Linked DNA regions of Astyanax mexicanus. The protein of the gene in region 2 purifies or fractionates together with the protein of the main gene of each other region. This does not show direct contact. Links are inferred from orthologs where the notes say so. Each region holds a gene or a part of one and is shown on either strand. Other genes may lie near its edges.

Region 1 (11,010 bases), on a different chromosome or scaffold from region 2:
CTTTGGTTTGGTACTGAGCGTGTGTGTGTGTGTGGTGCGTGTGTATGTGCATGTATGCGTGTGTGTGGTGTGTGTTGAATGTGCAGAAGCAGAAGGCAGAGAGGAAGCACTCATGGCTTCTGACTCGCATGCTATCCTAACATACCGTGACAACAAGTTTCTGAATCAGTTTATCTGATTTTGCTATTTATAGGTTTATGTTTGAGTAAAATGAACATTGTTGTTTTATTCTATAAACTACAGACAACATTTCTCCCAAATTCCAAATAAAAATATTCTCATTTAGAGCATTTATTTACAGAAAATGAGAAATGTCTGAAATAACAAAAAAAAAAGATGCAGAGCTTTCAGACCTCAAATAATGCAAAGAAAACAAGTTCATATTCATAAAGTTTTAAGAGTTCAGAAATCATCAATATTTGGTGGAATAACCCTGGTTTTTAATCACAGTTTTAATTTCATGCATTTTGGCATCATGTTCTCCTCCACCAGTCTTACACACTGCTTTTGGATAACTATTATATTATAATTATAATTATATATATATATATATATATATCTGTTTCTCTGTACAGGAGAGCTGTGATGGGCAGGGGGTTCTCTGAGTGAGCTCTACGGCTCCTCACCAGTTTCTAAATCGCCACCCAGTTCCACTGATCCAGTGAGTCTGAGTGAAGTCTGGGCCTGATCACAGCCTGAGAGCGGCTCACACCCTCACACACCTCACACACACCCTCACCTGGTTGAGACCACATACACACACACACACACAGACACCTATCCTCACCTGGTTGAGGTTCTACACACCTGAGGAAGACACCTCCACCCTCGTTCTCTCTGTAGGATGACTCTGGGACGGATCTCCAGTTTTTTGAGGGAGAACTTGGTTTTCAGAAAGAAAAAGACTTTTAAAACTGAAGGAGGACGAGGAGCAGGACTCAGTTCAGGATGGAAGGGGATGATCTGCAGATCTGTGAGATCTTCCACAGTGAGGGTCAAGCTCAGCTTCAGTTATCAGAGCAAGAACTCAAGCTCATTATAGAGATATAATCTGTAATAATCTGTGTGCTTTTAGAGCTCTTACCCATTTCTGCTTCGTTCAGACGAGCCAGTGTGTTGAATTGTGAGGATTTTTACTAAATCCTGCAGTTTTGTGTTTTTGCAATAAAGATTTGACGTTTATTGGGTGTGTCCTGAGTCAATCAGCTCCATATACTACATCAACACCAGCAGATATCAGACATGTCTCTCCAAACCATCACTGATTGGTGGAAACTTCACACTAGACCTCGAGCAGTTTGGACTGTGTGTCTCTCCACTCTTCCTCCAGACTCTGCTCCCTTCATTTACAAATGAAATGTAAAATGTACTGATGATCAGTGATGGTTTGGAGAGTCATGTCTGTCATCTGCTGGTGTTGATCCACTGTGTTTTATTATCAAGTCTAAAGTCAGTGCAGTTTTGTTTTCCCACAAAATCTTACAGCACTTCATATCTTACAGCTTCCCTCTGCTGCTGACAACTTTTATAATGATGCAGATTTCATTTTCCAGCAGGACTTGGCACACTGCTAAAAGTACCAATTAGTCTTATTATATAATATTCTAATTTTCTAAAACACTGATTTTTGGGTTTTTATAAATGCTTAAAATAGATCACTGTGTTTAATACATCTATATAATATATGAGTTTCACATTTTCAACTGAATTACTGAAATAAAGCAACTTTTCAATAATAGGGTCTCTGCTCTGCATTATAACTATTACTAGCACGACAGCGCCCTCTATTGCCTTAAAGGATTTATCACACACAAAACATTCAATATGAAAAAGGTGTTTTTATTAAACTGTACAAGATAAACTGGAATGATAATGTGAAAATTTTTTGGTCTTTTGTTGTTTTTTTATTATTTGGTCACAAAAAGAAAACGCAAATAGTTCCTTGATTTTAAAATAAACACTATTCTGTACTGCATTCTGGGGTGAATTCAGGGTGAATGGATCAGTGTTTTAGTTTACTGCCATTAATGGAACAAAAAACACCATATAAAATGATTATTTTCTGTAATAGTGAAGACGCTTTTCCCTCATACTGACACATGAAATTAAACCTTGTATAGACTCACAGTCACCCTTAATTCACCCCATATCAACATCACAATCATAATCCTTATTTTTCTTTTAATCATATAGAATTATCTTTATGTTCACAAGCTCAAATAGTCCAAACCTGATTCTCCAAAACATACTTTTACATTTGTCTAAACCACAAAATACACATCCTTGAATAGTAGTTTAGGATTCCAGATTACAGTTACACCCTGCTGCATTAAACTGCATTAATTAATCCAGTTCACTGGATCTGATATCAAAAGGGCTTAATAATTAGCTAAGAAGTTAAATCAGGTGTAAAAACACTTATTATGCAGGTCTACAATCTACCCCCGAGCTACAACACTAGTTTTAAGCCTACACAGCATTTTAAATGGAGATTTTCCACTGAAAATATAGTTTACTAGGCTTAATTCCTGTCCAGAAAACCACCCATGACCTCTTAGACTATGTTCAGACTGCAAATCCCAACCCAATTTGTAAACATATGATCGTAAATCACATTTAAAATGTTGTTTCTGGCTGTCCAGACTCTCAACAATCAATCTGGATATAAAATAAATCAGATTTGAGCTCTCAGTGTGAACACAACCTATACATTCTGATCTACAGGTGTCTAAATTCAGCTCTGGTTAATCCAGTTCACTGGATAAATCCACATAATTGATGTTTCTGCTTGATTACACCTGATTTAACCCCAGCTTTAATAATCAAACCTTACTTAAATCAGTTTTAAAGCATCTCTTAAACTGAATGTAACCAATGTTTCTCTACAGTACAAGCTTTCTTTGGTCCCCTTTTCCTGAAAGTGTCAGTAATTTGGCCCGAGTGCTCCCCGTACAGACGTTTCAGTGCTTTAAACAGATACAAGTGATCAATTAACCTTCTTTTACCCAAAGAACAACAAAAATAAACACTGTTTTTTTTTTTTTAAGGCATCGGTGCTCAAAATGCAGCAGAACTCTCGATGGTTTGTAGTGATGTTCAGTTAGACAGGCACAGCAGACGTGATTCACATGTTTAAAAGCCCTCTTTCAGATTCACACCGTTTCTTTCAGACACACATCCTCTTCATTTCCTAACTGAGCGAAGTCGCTGAGAAAAATCCAGCTCGTCTACAGGAAGTCAGTAAACTTCAGTAAAGGTTGCAAGTATTCACTGAATACCAGAATAATCCACAGGAAGGTTCCAGAAGATCTGAGGGCCACAGTCACCATCGTTATTTTGGAAGAGGTCTTCTAAACAACAGGATGTGAGGCTCTGGAAGACAAAGAAAGAAAAAAAATGAGAAATGCATTTTAGGGCTGCATCGATTAGTCGATATAATCGACAGTGACGATTATATAAAAAAAAAATAAAAATAAAAATGATGATTCCAAATGTTCATTGTTGACAAATTGTTAATTTGCAGCACTACACAAAGTACAGGGGACAGTAAAAAGTGCCCAAATACAAAATATTACACATTTCCTCACTAAATATCAGCACTTTCCATATTTAAAGGTCAATGTTCTGGACATTTGAAGGGCTTTTAAATCCCTTGTTCAGCTGTTTCTATCAATTTAAAGTGAAGAAGCAAGCAAGCAGAGATGAAGGACATGGCAGACATAATCGTCGATTAATCGAATAATCAGAAAAATAATCCAAAATAGACATTAGATGCAGTCCTAATGTATATGCCATTATTTTTAACAATACCGTAAAATAGTCATGCTGTCGAGCTCAAGATTCAAGTGCTTTGTTTATTGAAGGATATGAAATGTTTGTTTTCACTACTTCAGCAGAATTCTCTTAAAATAAAACGTGTTAAAAAGGGGTAAAAGGTCACCTTAACTTAGAAATACTGACCAGGTTCATGAATCATATAATGCACCCATCCCAGAGACTGCTGCACTCCCAGCCTCCTCCACTCGTCCTCCGACATCAGGTGAGACTTGGGCACCTGTTTGGCGAGTTCTCGAGGTAAAACCACATGTCTGGTGAGAAAACAGAATCACAAAGTTTATTGGCACTGCTGTGTGTGTGTGTATTACTGTGTATCCAAATATAGATTAGCTCCTTAGTGCTGGATACAGTTTTCTAGGTGGACGGTTGTTTCTGGTTAAGAGTAGGCTGTGTGTGATTGGCTGCCAAGTCTGTGACTAAAAAGTCTGTGACTTGTCTTAAGATATGAGAGATTGTCAGACTTTAGTCGACTTTTAGTCGACTTTTAAGTATTTTAAGAGTTGTGTAGTGTATCCTTCGTGAGTCCTTTGGCAAGGCATGTAAATGTTATTTTTTACTTTTTACAGAGTTTGTATAGAATTTAAACAACTACACAGCACACATAAAAATCACGTTATACTCATACTGACCCAGTAAAACACACAGAGTTAATGCAGAGTCTGAAATCTCTTTAGAAAACCCAGTTGTCTTTAGAGATTTAACTTTTATTACTTTATTTTTGTTTTTAAATGAAACTAAAAGAGTTTGCTGACTTTTAGCAGCAGCTCCCACACAGGAAAAGGCCTGAGAAACCCGGCCAGCAGCGTGAACAGCCTCTTTACTCTATTGACTGATTATTATTATTAATGTTTAACAGTAATTTAATCCTAATTTTGGATTTAATTTAATAAATCCCGCTGTACCTGTCCGCTCGCTCACCTGTACTCGTAGAGGTCGTCGTTGTATTTATCGGAGTAGTAGATCTGTTTGTGTGACATTCCGAAACAAAGCGCTGAGAAAAAAACACTAAAACACTCCGAATAACTCCAAATTAATCCGGATTAAACTCGATTCCGCTGTATTTGAAGCGAATAATCGCGTGCTGATCAGAACTGCAGCTCCTGTTTCCTCTCCAAAGGAATTCAATGACTTTTTTCAAACGCCGGATTGAAATGAAATTCCGCCTCTCTGATTGGACGAGGCGGAGTCACGTGACTGTAAACCTCCACTGTCATTGGTGGATGCTCAGACGACACAGAAACGTGTTCGACTTCCGATCAGAGAGCGTGTGGAGCGGAAACTGCACACTCCATACTGAGCTCTGAGTTACTCAAACACTAGAGGGCGCTACCGAGGGAGTCTAAAATTAATGGATTTATTTAAAGCTTTTGAGCAAAATCAGAGTTTTTTTAAGCTAATAGTGGCGTCAATCGATTAAAAAATTTAATCTGATTAATCATGAAAATATTCTGTGATAAAATGCAATTAATCGCTTGTTCTTCTTAAAACACAAGTGTTAATAGTGGATATTTAAATGCAAATAAAGCTGTAAATAAAAATGTAAATGTAAAGGTTTGTTATCATTAATCAGTTTGTTGTGGTGTGATGTGTGCCGGTGTGAAGGATCGTATAAATCAATAGGGTATCGGAATGGTAACCTATACTACTGCATCTCAAAAAATTAGAAAATAATTTTTTAAAAGTTACTTTATTTTATTAATTCAGTTTAAAATGTAAAACTCATATATTATATAGATGTTATGTTGATGATTATGGCTTTCAGCCAATGAAAACCCAAAAATGTACCAGAATTTCAATACCAATATATTATATAGATGTATTACATACAGAGTGATCTATTTTAAGCGTTTATTTCTTTTATTGTTGATGATTATGGCTTACAGCCAATGAAAACCCTAAAATCAGTGTCTCAGAAAATTAGAATATTATATAATAAGACTATTTAGTACTTTTGGCAGTGTGGGCAGTGTGCCAAGTCCTGCTGGAAAATGAAATCCGCATCTCTATACAAGATCAGCAGAGGGAAGCTGTAAGATATGAAGTGCTGTAAGATTTTGTGGGAAAACAAAACTGCACTGACTTTAGACTTGATAATAAAACACAGTGGATCAACACCAGCAGATGACAGACATGACTCTCCAAACCATCACTGATCATCAGTAAATTTTACATTTCATTTAAAGGAAATTAAGGGAGCAGAGTCTGGAGGAAGAGTGGAGAGACACACAGTCCAAACTGCTCGAGGTCTAGTGTGAAGTTTCCACCAATCAGTGATGGGTTGGAGACTGTTTTCCATTGTTTTCATTGGCTGTAATCCATAATCATCAACAATAAAATAAATAAACGCTTAAAATAGATCTCTCCGTGTTTAATACATCTATATAATATATAAGTTTCACTTTTTTAAACTAAATTACTGGAAAAAAGTAACTGTTACGCTTTTTAAATCCATTTGAAATCTATCTAGTTGTATTTATTCCACCAGTTTTAACACATACAACACGTTTCAAGCCAGGTTATGTACAGTTTATTGATGTATAAACAGATATTCTGTCCTCATAAATTAGCACGTTTACATTTACATATTACAACTTTAGTGTTATTGATATTTCAGGAAAGTTATATACATTATAACTCTTCTGTTTCAGCCAAAGGTGATTCCTAAGTCTATATACAAGACCCACACAGTCTTTTTTTTAATCATTATACACTTTTTTCATTTATCTGTTTGTTTTAACCGGAGTAGGTTTGAGGTGTTCTAGTACGGCTAGATGAAATGATATCTCATTTCGATGACATATTTACAAAAATCATCTAAAAGCTGATGCCAGACCAATGGATGAAACACCACTGTGGGAATTCATGTAACAACCAGGGAATAATAGATTATACATAATATAGATTTCTGAATATAGATTTGTGAAGAACATGTGAAGTAATGGTTGGAATACTGTATACTTTTAAAACTTTTTTTTGAGTAATCCCATATAACAAAGGGCCTGAGATCAAGACCTTTAATCCAGTTTCCAATATTGGCCATTTTTTTTGGTGATTATTGGTAGGTGTGGCATTAAATAGGTGATAAATTAATCAAAACATCCGCTGAGACAGTATTGGGCCAAATGTAGTTTAAACTAGGCAACCGAAATGTTGGTAAAAGCGTTAATGAGTAAATCCCATATTATAGCAGTAACTGCAGTTTCAGCAAATGCAGTACAGGCAAATTTCTGTATTATACTTGGCAACCAGGGTGATAGCAACTACTGCACAGGCCAATTGCTGTATTATACTCAACAAATTGGTTAATGGGACATGCAGCACTGGCCAATTGCTGTATTAAACTCAGCACTTGGGGTGTTGGTACATACATCACAGATCAATTGCTGTATTATACTCAGCAACCGAGGGTCAAATTTGTCTTCAGGAAGAAAGAGAACCCAGTATAGGTCTTAACTTGGGGGATTTAACTTTTGAGCAGCATCAATAGACAGCTTGAATTGTATTCGGAGGAAAGCGCCAGATCACCAGCTCTGATACATCAGCTAATAGAAGCCTGTGTCAGCATGCTCTCAGGGGAAGAGCATGGTCAATTGTCCTCTCTCGGGCTCTGGCTGCTGATAGCAAGAGGAATTACCCAGGGTGTGAACTTTGGGTTTGCTTTGGGTGTCAATTTACTTTAGGTCATATACAACATTAGGGTTGTCATTACTGTGAAATGTAATGCAAGTGCACGTCAGAAGAGCCCATTTCGTAAACTTGGAGACTAATCTAGTCTAGGTTTAAATTAGGAGATTGGAGCATCTACAATCTCGTAATCTGCCTCGACTGCATCATACTGGTTGTCTGTCTGACTTGGTGGATATTCCACCATAGTGAATCCTTCTGAGTCCTTCTGAGGCGTGGCGTATTCACTGGCCTCCTGCTTGGTGATGAGCTCATAGTCCAGCCCAGCTTCTCCTGTAGGTTCTGCTGCCTTAGGTGTGGATGAGCAAACGTCACTGGCACCAGATTTCTGTTCTTGCTTCACTTTCATCTCTCCATGTCCCTCAGCCTCCTCCTCGACCTCTGCCGGAAGTAGAGGAGTCAGGTCCAGGAAGGGTTTGTGGGGTGGTGTTATGGGTTTGACTGTTTGAGGCGATTTGATCGAGAGAGTTCCAGTGGGTGCTTTAGGTCTCTTTGTCTTTTCTGTCTTTTTTGTCTTCCCCGAAACAGTTTGGGCAGCGAATTCAGCAGCTGCTGATTTTCTGTCTACAGTTACCCAGCTTGCGTCCCCTGAGGAAGACTCTGTGCTTATGTCAAGTGGTAAAAAAGCCTCTGCAATTTCTATATCATCTTCTGACGGCAGGAAAACGTCATTTCCTGCCTGTGTCATCCTTTTGCCGTTCTTTGTGGATTCATCCTGAAAAGCCACACGCCGAGTCTTTTTCACTTCCATCGTTTCCTCAGGTTCTAGCTTTTCTACCTGAAGATGTTCACAAGGGGATGAGCTTGCACTGTCCCTAAAGAAATCAGTGATTTCCTCTTCAACCTGTGGTCCAGACTGGTACCTTTCATGCTGTGCAATGCCAAAAGCGTCCTCAGAAAACATCTTCACCCTCTCCACCGTACGGTCACCGGTCAATTGAACTGCCCCTGCTAATGGAGTTTCGTCTTTGAGTACAAACTTCTCCAGGTAGCCTCTGTCTTCTATGTCGGACTCCTGACTGTGAAAGGACTTCTCCGAGGTCACGCTCTCCGTGTCCTCTTGCTTTATCCTGGTTCCTATGGCATCCGCATACAGATCTGTGTACATGAAGGCCAAGGCTTTTGGCTCCTCCAGCAGGTTCAGATCTATAATTTTTGCAGGTCCCTCAGGGAGGTAAACTGGGGTAAGTATCGTCTCCTGGCTACCGAACAAGGCGGATCCGCTTTCCTTCAAAGGTGACGTGGGCAGATCTCCTCGGTTTGCTCCATTCCTTGGTAGGATTTGTTTGTCTGGATCGCTTCCACCACCATAAAACACCTCGTCCACATGTTCACTAGCAATCTCCAGGCCACTGACTGATGCTGAATCGCTTGCAATTTCCACTTCTGGTTTTGCATTGAGAGTCTTGTCTTTACTTACTTTATCTTCTGCTTCCTGCTCTGTCGAGACCTCAGGCTCATCGGAAGCCTCCAATGTAGGAGCTCCTCCTGCTGGTGTCTGATGGTCCAGCAGTGTGAACTTCTCAAAGTAGTCTTCGCTAGTGGCTCCTTTTCGCGGAGGCTTGATTGGTGAAACCAGGACTGGTTCGGGAACTGCCTGGAGCATGGCTTGAATGTCCTCTTTTGGTGTTTCCTCAGGTTCTTCGACGATGTCTTGGGCTTTGACGACAGGAGTTTCTTCCAGGTAGGACAGGTTATCCTCCAGCCCTTTGCTTTCCTCCTCATCCACGGTGAATATCTTTGGTGGCGCAATGATGTTCAAAATCTCGGATCCCTCAGAGACCAGGCGGAAGAGTCGCTGGTTGCCCTCCTCTTTTGGGTCTTTCTGCTCAACTACCTCTGGTTCTTCCTCCATTTTCATGTTAGGAAGAGATACCTCCACCATGGCTGGCCTTTCAGGTTCCCCCAGTCCTTCTCCCATTGTCTCCGCTTTCTTCTCAGCTTTACTCCTCTTCCTCTTCTTCCTCCTGATCAAGTGGTCCTCATCCATTATAAAGATGATTTTACCGGCTGCTTCTGGACCTGCTGGAGCTGCAGGAGGTTTTGGAAGCAGACTATAGCAGGGTTCTGTAGCAGCAGAATTTAAGTCTGAAGCCCAGGGGGTGGAGCAGCGACTGGACGACGTCTCCCAGACAATCCCGCTGTCCTCGCTCTGCACTGTGACCATGGAGAAGGCTGGGTCCATCATCAGACAGTGTAGTTTGGGCTTCACTGCCACGTCATGGACGATCTCTCTCAAACTGGAAGAACAAAAATTAAGCTGGAGTTACCAAAGTAGAACATATATATATATATATATATATAGTCATAATTTTGTGCTTGATTGGTGTAAAACACAGAATTATGTCATCTGACCCGAGTTTCTCAACCCAGGATTCAATAATCAGCTCATTAAAAAGCACTTTAGAGTTGTAGGGGGTGTGATAAAAGCAGGGACTCTATTAAGATAAGATAAGATAAGATAAGATAAGATAAGATAAGATAAGATAAGATGGGAAAGATTTTAATATAAATTTGCAATGTTACAGCAGCACAGAGGACAGGGCAAACGAAGTAGCATGAATATACAAGCAATATATAAAATAGAAAAATAAAATAAATATTTTAAACTATAATAAAAAAAGATAAAATATTGCACATTAAGCATATTGCACATGATGGTGGTAAACATATTAGCAATACTAACTAAACATACTGTACATACTAACTAAAATGTGCAGGGCAGGGGTGCTTCCCAACCAGGGATGTGAAACCCTGATCTGAACCATCAAAACTGATGTGTAAAGTTTTTTGAACACTTTAAAAATTCTACATAATCTTAAGTTTATTGAAATAAATTAATTCATTCATATTGTGCACATTACATTAGTAGCTACAGTCATCTTATTACAGTTTTGATTGGCTTGTCCCATCTATCAACTATGATGATATTAAAGTGATAAATATGCTGCTAAGCATCATATAGCTTTACAACTCTGTCCTCAGTTTAGCAGCATGGCCTTTTACTACACTTTGGCATCTTAATATAAAATCAATACAAATACACAGATTATAATAATTATGAAAAAGTTTTTACTTAGAAAATATTTTTTAAATGTGTTTTAGATTAAATATTTTATTTTAAAATATATAATTAAAATGTTTATTTTCTATATAAACTGAATGTTTAAGTTTTTTTTAAGTTTTGTAATATTTTTACTATTTTTATTATTTTATATAATAATTTGACATTATACTTATACATTATACAAAAAATAGGACAGTTTTAGCAATGAAAATGCTTGTTATTTGAATAGTATAATTATTAGTTAAAATAAAATAATATGACATAATAAATTAAAATTATATTTATATTTGTGTCATATTATTTTATTTAAAACTTAATTAAGAAAGTGTAAATATAGAAAAATAAATGATAATACATTTTTTTATAATTTTATTTGCAAAGGATATGTATTTTTATTTTTGGCATTTTTGCAATACATATGT
Region 2 (10,991 bases):
TCCATTCCGTGTTGAACGCTCGATTTTCGGCGTCTACTTTTCTCTTTTTTGAAAGCGCCATAGTGTTTGCACCTCTTCTGACTGTAATTCACGTCCTGTCTTCCTGTATCATCTCCCTGCGTTTCTCACTTCAATCGCTTTTCGCTCGCCTTTCACCTTCTCTTCCTTATATCACACTGCGTGGATGTCTGTGCCTGCTACAAACCTCGGCTTCGGTTTGCTCATACAACTCGCTCTGAGTTCAAGCTGGTGATTTGATTCGCTAGTTGAACCACGTGGTTAGTATGACTCGCACGCGATTGGTTTGTAGCTTCCAATCCTTGCTCAGTGCAGTGCTGGAAAAAGCACTTATAGATAGGGAGAAAATAAACGCTCCGGTTTAAAATTAATTCTCCCGCCAAAATTTAAAAATATTTTAACAATTTATTCCGGGTCCGGAAGGGATGGCATATGGGTCCGCTGGTTGCGGACCACGGATCTACAGTTTCCAGAGTCATGAAGTGCCTGCATGCACAATTCCTGAACCCATCTTTCAAATAAAAAGTCCACTGCAGAGTTCTGTAACTGCAGCAACAATTTGGCAATAAATGAATGTATTGTACACAAATATCTGCCAGTATGTAAAGTAAGTCATAGGATTTAAACATGACAGAAGATAAATAATTACCGTTAGTGAATTCTGATGGCAGACAACCCTTCCTGAGCTGCTGCCAGCCCTCTCCTCCTTTAGGCACTTCAATATTACAGGACAGCTCCAGGATGGACACACCCAGACTATGGCAAAACACAACACATCTGGTTTCACACAAACATAACGTACAGCACAAATACAGATTGAACCACACAGAGAGAACGTTACTTTGCTAACCTGAAAACATCTGCAGCAGCTCCATACTCTCCCCTCAGCAGTTCAGGAGCCATGTACCGCGGGTCTCCTTCCTGCTCATCGTCTTTCTCCCTCTTCTTCCTGTCTGTGCCTTTTCCTCCCTCTGTCGCTCCAGCCTCGCTCTCTCTGGGCAGCTCCAGCAAGAGGCCAAAATCACCGAGTTTGAGCCGCCCAGAACGCGTGAGGAACACATTGGCTGGTTTGAGGTCCATGTGAGCAAAGCCCTGAGAGTGTAGGTGATCAAGAGCCAAGAGCAGATCACATAGGTAATACCAGGCACATGCCTCACCTGCAAAAGCAAGAACAAAAAAAAGTGTTGGGGTTTTTCTCCTCAACAGTAAAAATAAAAATAAAATGATGCAAAAAGTCTCACCTGGATTTGAAGGCTGGTTCTCAGTGTGGAGAAGCAGGCTGGTGCAGCACAGTTCAGTCTGAATGTAGAGATGCCCTCCCTCCTCCCAGGCGGCGATGAAGCCCAGGATATGCGGGTGCGGATGGAGACGCTCATGGTTCCGAGCCTCTTTGATGCTCCGGGAGCGTTCAACCTCCCCACGGAAGCGCTGCACCGAGCGTTTCACTGCATACTGCCGCCCATCTAACAGACTCTTTACCTGTAGGTGAAAAAACAATTTGCACAAGAGGGTAGTTTATTTTTACTATACTGTTAAATGAACAGGTTAAATATAAAAAATATATATCTTTTGGTCCTTTTTCTGCACAAAAAAACAGCAATTATCGGTTTGCGATATCGTTCAAATCTAAACATTATTCCGACTGGTATCATTATGTTCTTAAAAAGTGGTCCAAATATTTAATACTGAACAGTGTCTAATTTTGGGTAACTACATGTCAGTATTTTGAGCTTCAGCCTGTAATCCAGCCTCCAGCTTCTCTCTCAGTGTACTGAGTGACCTGGGTAAGCACAGTTCGAAAACATAACTGCTGTTGTACCTTACAATATGAGTAACTATAGTCCTTTTAAATATATTAATACTGTAGCTTGAAGGATATTAATTATTAATAAATAAATATTAATGCACACTGAACTGAATGTATTTGTTAACAGGAGAAAGAAGGGAATTGTGATAAACTGATAAACATTTGCTTAAAAACATTAACACCTCTAATGGCTTCAATTAAACATATTGTAAATTTATGTTAAACTTGTGTTTTACTTGTGCAAAAAAGCTTTGCAAAAATATAGAAATAAATAAGATTTTTTTTAAATACAGTGATATACCGTGAAACCTTCAGAATCTTGCAAAATACTGTTATATGCATTTTTGTTCATAGCGCTCAGCACTAAGCCGTAGTATAATTTCAGTTTCAGTATCAAGATATTCAGGTATCATGTTGAAAGTTATCATTTTGTCATCGTGTCCACACTACTCACAAATATGCACCTGTAATGAGTGTAATATTTTGAAAGAATTTATGACACTTCTTCTACAGACTCTGCACGCAGCTAATGTTTCTACAGACAGTCTTCTAAGAATCTTAAAGGATCTACATAACTCTGCTTCTGCCAGCTCTAAATTAAATACAAACTTCAGGACCAGAACCTGGTCTATTTACACTGGTTTTGTTCTACCTGTAGTTACCTCACCTTATACACCTCCCCAAAAGAGCCTCTGCCGATGAGGCCCAGGTTTATGAAGCACTGGCTGAAGAAGGACTGCGGCCGGCCAGGGTCATACAGAGAGAGTGGTGGTGGGTTTTCAATCAGCTCACAGGAGAGCGGGGTCCAGGGGGTCCGACGCTGGGGAAATACGCGGCTCACAGAGGGACAGCCTTTGGAGGGGGGTCGCGGTGGCAGGGAGTGCGAGAGCTGACGCTGAGGGGAGTGGGAGTCTGACGACACAGACGAGGAGAAGGCAAGGCGGCGCTTTTTCAGAGAGAATGATTGCTGGGCATGGGAAAAGTGCACGGGCAGGGGCAGTGGGGTGCTGACCATGTCGACTCTCTGGACAAACATACAGGAAAAGCAGCACCTGAAAATACACCATCGAAATAACAGTTCATTCCAACAAGTCCGAGTCAGTCAAAAGATTACAGAGACTGTGTACAGAAGTTCAGCTCAGCCTGTTCCAACAAAAAGAACATTTGATTTACCTTAATTTAATTTCTATAGGAAGTGTATGGGTTTTTTTTTTATAAGGGATGCACAATGATATCAGGATTATGTCAACAATAATAGTCTTTTTTTTTTTTTTAGAATCATATTATTTGTGCAAAAAACACAATAGTGTTATACGCTTTGTCCAGTAATTCAGAGCTAAGGAATAAATGGTTAGAATTTGTCTGTGGAACACGCCAGGTAAGTTGAGATATGTAGGTGTGTATATTTAGAATGGTTCTGTTTACACTAGTTAAAAGCACTTTTTTCCAAAAAAAAGGGCATATGGTATTAATTCATTTTAGAGACAACTAGACATTTAAAAATGAATTAAAAAACGATAGAATGAGACCTTTAAATTAAAGGAGAAATCTGGTGTAACATGGACTTGTGTTGTAGTGAAACATGATAATGAGTACATTTGTGAAAAAGCCCCACTCTGTTCACCCCCAGTGTTTATTGTTTTTAGTCGATGCTCCCAACAGGCTTACAATGCTAGTGATAAGGGCATAGGGTTGGCTATGCATAGAAATGGCTATTTTTACACCATAAACAAGCTCAAAGTAGCTCAACACTTTATTGGTAAAATTCTAAGGGTCCTGACATTTAAAACGAAGCACTGAGACGTTTGAAGATGCACGCACAGAGAGTTTATTAAAAACAGTGGGTATACACACAATACCATCAGGTAGTTCTCGAGAATAATTTATGAGTCGACTTATGAGTAGAAAGAGTACATAGGATAGGGAACAAAGTGCAAAATTAAGTCTGTGTTAATGCATGAATATTACAGAGATTTTTAATAAGAATTAATGCATTTTCATAGAATATATTTTTACAATCTGTTTACCCATCCTACCTTTCATTTATCTTTCGTGTATACTGTGGGTATAAACAGTATTTTTACTTAGCATTCACGATCTGTACAAGTTCTCAGTGCCTCATTTTAAATGTCAGGGCCCTCAGAATTCTACAAGTAAAGTGTGGTGCTACTTTGAGCTTGTTCATTAATGGTGTAAAAATATTGAGGGCAACGCTATGCCCCTTTCTCCAGCATTGAAAGCCTGTTGGGAGCATCAGCTAAAAGCACTGTATTTCTGAATGCTGAATTTGACAACAAAAATTTGTACGTTACTTATCATGTTTCACTACGACCCAAGTCCATTTCATCCCGGATTTCTCCTTTAATTTAAAGTATCTTTTTTTCATCTGGAACATAATGTCGTAAAGACGTGTTGCAATCAGAGCTAGTGTTTATTCAGGGTTCTGTGGTATCAGGGCTTGTTTTCTGGTTGAGGCTGGGCTGTAGGGTCTAACCCCTGAACTCGGGGCTGGGTAGGTAGGTGAACTGTGGCGGGTAGAGTGGATGTTAGCCGCTATGCTAACTAAAGCTAACTCACTAAACCCGAGTTAAAAACTCGGAACTCCGGGCGCGTTTCGTCTCATTTGTTCGTAAACAAACTGAAAATAATTGGGAATGAGATTCTCCCGCACAGAAACCTGAGTTTTCTCACAGCTCTGCAGTCTAACTGGAGCCGGACTCTCCTCCTCACAATTCTCACAGAACCAGAACCCGCTGCTGCTGCTGTCGGTACCGGTGTTCTGTCGAGTTATGCTACCCATCGATAAGTGCTTTCCAAAGGCACTGCGCATGCGCCAATCTACCTTTTAAATTTATTTTTATATTCTTTTGCGTTTTTTATTCATTTAACGACCTGGACTTACTGTAATTACATAAAAAGTGTAAATCACAATTAATATTAATAATAGAAAATATTATAAATATATATATATATATATATATATATATATATATATATATATATATATAAGCAGATTCAAATAACCTCTCATCACTATAACTTTACCCTGAGACAGTGCTTCATGCTATCAAAAACAGCACATAGACTTCTGCTGGGAAAAATGCTCTAAAATTGTGCTACTATTGTATTTTTACCTTTAATTATACACAAGGGAAGCACGTCTTGACAAGGTAGCAAAACTCAGCAGAACACCTTCACTCCGCTGACAGCTTCAGATTTCCCCTTAGCCCAGCCCGTACTGCCCCGCAGCACGCAGCCCTGCGCCAGGTTCACATAGCGTTGTATCGGTTCTGTACAGACACTATTTATATTATTAATATTAATAATAATACAGGAGAAACCTCTCACCGTGTCCGCGCTTTCAAATTCCCTCCCCACGCGCCAAAACACACAGTGACGTAATGCCACGTTTATCAAAGAGACTGTAGAGAGAGCGAATACCCACTCCATATGGAGGAATTGAGCAAAATCTATAAAAAAAAGTTTATAAATATTTGATCATTTTCATACAGAACAGTTTGATATTTGTACTAATTGTACTAACACAAAAACAATATCAACTGATTTACCAACGCAGAAATGCGTTTCAAAGAATTTAAACTTCAGTTATAAACATTTTAAATGTGCTCTAGCTGTAACTTCAGAATCAGCTCACCTGTCAGTAGAGGTGGGAAACCAGGTCCAGAGAGTAAAAATCCAACCCAGGGTTTTGTACCAACTGCCTAAGCGACTCTACTGCATGTCAACAGACCCGCCCAGGCAGTTGATACAAAACCCTTTGTTGGATTTTTACTTTCTGGACCTGGTTTATCCACCTCTACCTGTCTATAGCAGTAATGCAGCGCCTGAAGCCACTTTACTGTAGAAAATATACAGGTAAGTTTACTCTGCTCTCACTAAAAGTAAATTAATAACCTGGACAAGCAGTTAGTTACTATTTTTTTATTTGAGTTTGAGCCGATCAGCTCCATTCACCCCATTCATTGAGGACTCGCTCGCGGGCTCCCTCTAGCGGTGGGCAGTTATTTTCTGATATAACGGGGAGATCGGAAATGGGCAGTCTCTAATAAACCGGCTCTGCGTTTATATTACACACGTTTATATGACATCACAAAAAACAATAACAAAAAATAAAGGATTTAAAAACGGTAAGCATTTTAATATAGTCCTGGTGTGTATGTATAATACATACCCATAATATTTATAATCCTGACCCACTTTGGCTATGTTAATTTTAATGTGGGCACTTTAAGCTTAAAGCCGCCACAGAGCTGGTTTATAGAAAGACTGCCCCCTTCCTCTCGCCCCGGTACATCCGAAAATAACTGTATACCGCTGGGAGACCGCAAGAGAGTCCAGAATAGATGTAAGTGAATAGGGTTAAACGGCTAAAAACTCAGTTTATAAATAATAACTAAGTTCTTGTTCAGGATATTTCTTCAATTTTGGAAAGTTTAAGTTTAACTTTACTTAGAAACACGTGCCAAAAAAGCTTCGCTGAGAGGGGGTGCTTTTAATGGCAGGGGTGCTGATTTTGGCACAGCTGTTGTATGAAAATCACCCTCTCTCGGGTTATTGATTATGGAGGACCAAAACTGCCAAAATTAAAAATAAATAAATAAATAAAAACGTAAGTAAATCACTCAATAAAAGTAATATGGTGATAAAAACGCTAAAGAATAAATATAATTAATATAAAAATAAAAAAACAAAAAAAATAATATCCTAATCATTTGTTATTAATGGGTTTCTTTATTAACATTTCTTTTCAATTTACTTTTATTTATTTACATAACTATTTATTTCTGCATTAATTTATTTCCCGATTTATTTATTTCTGCATTCATTCATTTCCCAATTTATTTATTTCGGTTTTTCCTTGTCCTTATATGATAAAGAAGGGGGCGTGTTTTTCACGTACAGGCTTAGCAATCAAGCCCAGAGAGAGAGGAGCTGAAATGTCGGGGTGAAGTTTAGTATTGGATCTGCTCAGAGAAGCAGCTGCTCTCCTCAGAAAAATGGATTACAGTCTGTATTACGATCTAAATGATCTTTATTATATAATCTCCCACGTTACCAAAGTAACCACCAAATGGGCAAAACATGTACAATCCATATATGGTATCTGACATCGATCAACCAATAGGAATGCTGAGACACCGTGACATCATTGCTGGACAGCCCCTTCATTATCATAAAAGGACAAGGAAAAACAGAAATAAATAAATTGGGAAATAAATGAATACAGCAATAAATACATTGAGAAATAAATAAATACAGAAATAAAATAACGGAAAAAAATTAATGCAGAAATAAATAGTTATGTAAATAATAATCAAATTTAGAAAAATTAAACAATGTTAATTGAAAAACCCATAAATAACAATTTATTATGATATTTATTTTTATGTATATGTATTTATTTTGATATAGTAATTAGAATAATTCTTTAGCGTTTTAGTCACCATATTACTTTTATTGAGTGATTTACATACATTTTTATTTATTTATTTATTTTTAATTTTGGTCCTCCATAATTGATTAGTGAAACGAGACGTATTTTAGTTTATTTTTGCATAGTAAACAAACTAATGACAGCGGATTATCTCTCATTTTTTGCCTTTCAAGTTAAGTTATTTAACATGCTCCAAGGAGGGGGTGCTTTTTCTGGCGCGGGTGCTAAATTTGGCACAACATCTGCGCTCTGCCCACACGCTTCTCGTGCAGAGACTGAAATGAAAAATGACCCAGCAAAAAGCTACACATCGGCCCTTCGTGGGCTAAGTGTGGGCACTGTGGGCAGGGGCTAGCCCATTAAAATTCCAAACAGGCCCAACATGGGTTTTCTGTGGGCAGCCTGTTCATTGGCTGGCCCACTCAAATCCTATAAAAGGCCGCTGTGGGCTAGCCTGAACTGGTCCAGTGCATTAATGCCCCTGTAGGCCCAGTGTGGGAATTATTTGGACAGCCAACACTTTGATGCGCCCACACAAATCCCAGGCAGGCCCACTGTGGGTCAGCCCACATTCAGCCTGCACCATTTCACACCCTGAAGGGCCAGTGTGGGTTATATGTGGGCAACCCGCACTCTGGCATGCCCACACAAATCCCAGGCAGGCCCACTGTGGGTCAGCCCACATTCAGCCTGCACCATTTCACACCCTGAAGGGCCAGTGTGGGTTATATGTGGGCAACCCGCACTCTGGCATGCCCACACAAATGCCAGGCAGGCCCACTGTGGGTCAGCCCACATTCAGCCTGCACCATTTCACACCCTGAAGGGCCAGTGTGGGTTATATGTGGGCAACCCGCACTCTGGCATGCCCACATAAATCCCATGCAGAGCCAGTGTGGGTCAGCCCAAATTCAGCCTGCACTATTTCACACCCTGAAGGGCCAGTTTGGGTTATATGTGGGCAACCCGCACTCTGGCATGCCCACACAAATCCCAGGCAGGCCCACTGTGGGTCAGCCCACATTCAGCCTGCACCATTTCACACCCTGAAGGGCCAGTGTGGGTTATATGTGGGCAACCCGCACTCTGGCATGCCCACACAAATCCCATGCAGAGCCAGTGTGGGTCAGCCCAAATTCAGCCTGCACCATTTCACACCCTGAAGGGCCAGTGTGGGTTAAATGTGGGCAACCCACACTCTGGCATGCCCACACAAATCCCATGCAGAGCCAGTGCACTGCACCATTTCACACCCTGAAGGGCCAGTGTAGGATATATGTGGGCAAAACACTTTAGCATGCCTACACAAATCCTATGCAGAGCCAGTGTGGGTCAGCCCAAATTCAGCCTGCACTATTTCACACCCTGAAGGGCCAGTGTGGGTTAAATGTGGGCAACCCACACTCTGGCATGCCCACACAAATCCCATGCAGAGCCAGTGCACTGCACCATTTCACACCCTGAAGGGCCAGTGTAGGATATATGTGGGCAAAACACTTTAGCATGCCTACACAAATCCCATGCAGAGCCAGTGTGGGTCAGCCCAAATTCAGCCTGCACCATTTTACATCCTGAAGGGCCAGTGTAGGATATATGTGGGCAAAGCACAGTTTAGCATGCCCATACAATTCCCATGCAGAGCCAATGTGGTCAGCCCAAATTCAGCCTGCACCATTTCATACCCTGAAGGGCCGGTATGGGTTATATGTCTGCAACCTGCACTTTGGCATGTGCACACAAATGTCATGCAGGGACACTGTGGGTCAGCCCAAATTCAGCCTGCACCATTTACACACTGTAGGCATTGTGGGTTATATGTGGGCAGCACGCACACATATGTGAGCATGCCCACACAAATCCTATGCTAGGTTACTCTGGGTCAGCCCAAATTTACCATTCAATATTTTACAATCTGAAAGTTTGTGTCATAACAAGTTCATATGAAGGGTATCTGAATATTTTTTATTGTTTTTGTCTGTGAGAGCTAGGTAGATTAGCTAGCTTAGTGGATAGGAGCAACACTGTGTGAAATGTAGCATCAGCTCTGAAATATTTTCTAAACCAAAAGTGGAGAAAAATCAAGGTACCACAGCAGAGTTGTGCAGAGACCTTTGGAGGGGCAGGTGCTCAAAGTCAAAAGGGTGCACATGGAGAAAAAATTTGAAACACCTGCAATATCATTGATAAACTCTGATGCACATAAAACACACACACACACACACACCCAGTAACATCTCATATTTGTCAAGACATATACTGTATAGCTATACATTTTTATTTATAAAAATATTTTTATTTAATATTTTGGATAGCTACGAATTTGCTCCATGGTGCTGATTCATAATCTCACCTTTATTATTGGTAGTGCTGATAATAAATAAATAAAAATATTAAATTATAAATGTATTTGTGCTTGACTATACACTTTGTGTAAGCCAGCAAGCAAGGTTATAAAAGTTACATATTTTTTTATTTTTGCATGTGATATTTAATTTGTGTGTATTCGTGTGGGCGCAACAGGGCAGTGAGGGCATGTCAATGTGGATCATGTGACCGACGAATCCACCCCCCTCCCCCTCCCCCCTCCCTGCACGTGCCTTTACCACAGAGCAATGATCAAGCTTAAAGGCAAAGTCAGTGAGTGACTTTGGTCTGTCAAAGTGACTAAAAGGTAAGTTATAATTTCTGTTCTACTATCCGCTTTTCTATTTTTTGCTAATGTGGTGCTAATGCAGTTACCACTCTCAGGTTATTGTAGCATTATAAGGGTAGCTATGTCGAAGTTAGCATTGTGCTAAAAAAAGTTAGCATTGTGCTAAAAAAAGTTAGCATTGTGCTAAGTTAGAATGAGAATTTACCTCACATTTAAATAACACAAGGGGCTCCCAAGTTGGCAGCTTATCTCGGCTCTTGGAGAAAGACTGCTGTTAAGTAAGTTAACTTTATATCCAAGTATGTCAACAATAACCAGCTAAGGGAACAATGGCTTGCTAAGGGAAATATTAAGGGAAATGGAAAATGGAAAGATATCCACTTAAGCTAAGGGAAAGATAGCCAGTTAAGCTAAGGGAAAGATAGCCAGTTAAGCTAACGGAAAGCTAGCCAGCTAAGCTAACGGAAATATAGCCAGTTAAGCTAAGGGAAAGATATCCAGCTAAGCTAAGGGAAAGATAGCCAGTTAAGCTAAGGGAAAGATATCATTTTAAAAAGTTTTGGTATTTTTGTGAACCTGATATCCTGATATCGGCCACCTCACATGTTTATAGAATGTAACTACCAGTCACACACAGTGACTGTAAAGGCTATTTATGTTTCACCATGAATAGCCTGAAGAAATTCAAATTCAAATTCAAATAACTATCACTATATAAGAATCACTGTAATCAAATACAGTCTGCAAATTTCTCTAAAATTAAGCATTGTACATGAAAAGACACTAACAGATGTAGTATTTACCTGACTGCATTCTCATATCTCTATATTATTATTTTAAGAGGCCGTGAGAAGATCAATCATGCCACCACCAAAGGATGCAGAGATCGAGCAGGTTGCAAAGGTTCAATAGTATCTGTCTGCAGAGCCGCAGAGCCACGGATATACGCCAGCAGATTCACGCCAGCAGTTTCAAGCCAGTGGCATTCTGCGCATGCGTCAGCATGCGTTGATACCTTCTTCGGTTTTCTTAGCGTTAAATAACTGGTTTGACTTAGC

Evidence for each region.
Region 1: the proteins of pkmyt1 (region 2) and zgc:86839 purify together in Homo sapiens (affinity purification with mass spectrometry; 3 studies listed by BioGRID and IntAct, counting the BioPlex papers as one, with this or other methods). This does not show direct contact. The link is inferred for Astyanax mexicanus from reciprocal best matches to the Homo sapiens genes PKMYT1 and CKS2.

Annotation. Positions count from the first base shown.
Region 1 is NC_064424.1:46,531,935-46,542,944, forward strand, and holds zgc:86839 (cyclin-dependent kinases regulatory subunit 2-like), read right to left. Parts: upstream 4,973-11,010; 5' UTR 4,815-4,972; coding exon 4,756-4,814; intron 4,089-4,755; coding exon 3,961-4,088; intron 3,373-3,960; coding exon 3,332-3,372; 3' UTR 1,819-3,331; downstream 1-1,818. Other genes in the region: si:ch1073-398f15.1 (cardiomyopathy-associated protein 5), read right to left, coding at 7,622-9,761. UniProt on the Homo sapiens protein: Binds to the catalytic subunit of the cyclin dependent kinases and is essential for their biological function.
Region 2 is NC_064422.1:3,365,430-3,376,420, forward strand, and holds the start of pkmyt1 (membrane-associated tyrosine- and threonine-specific cdc2-inhibitory kinase), read right to left. Parts: upstream 5,590-10,991; 5' UTR 5,174-5,589; intron 5,145-5,173; exon of another isoform or gene 4,960-5,144; intron 4,744-4,959; exon of another isoform or gene 4,503-4,743; intron 2,878-4,502; 5' UTR 2,862-2,877; coding exon 2,493-2,861; intron 1,498-2,492; coding exon 1,260-1,497; intron 1,176-1,259; coding exon 869-1,175; intron 775-868; coding exon 668-774; intron 1-667. UniProt on the Homo sapiens protein: Acts as a negative regulator of entry into mitosis (G2 to M transition) by phosphorylation of the CDK1 kinase specifically when CDK1 is complexed to cyclins. Mediates phosphorylation of CDK1 predominantly on 'Thr-14'. Also involved in Golgi fragmentation.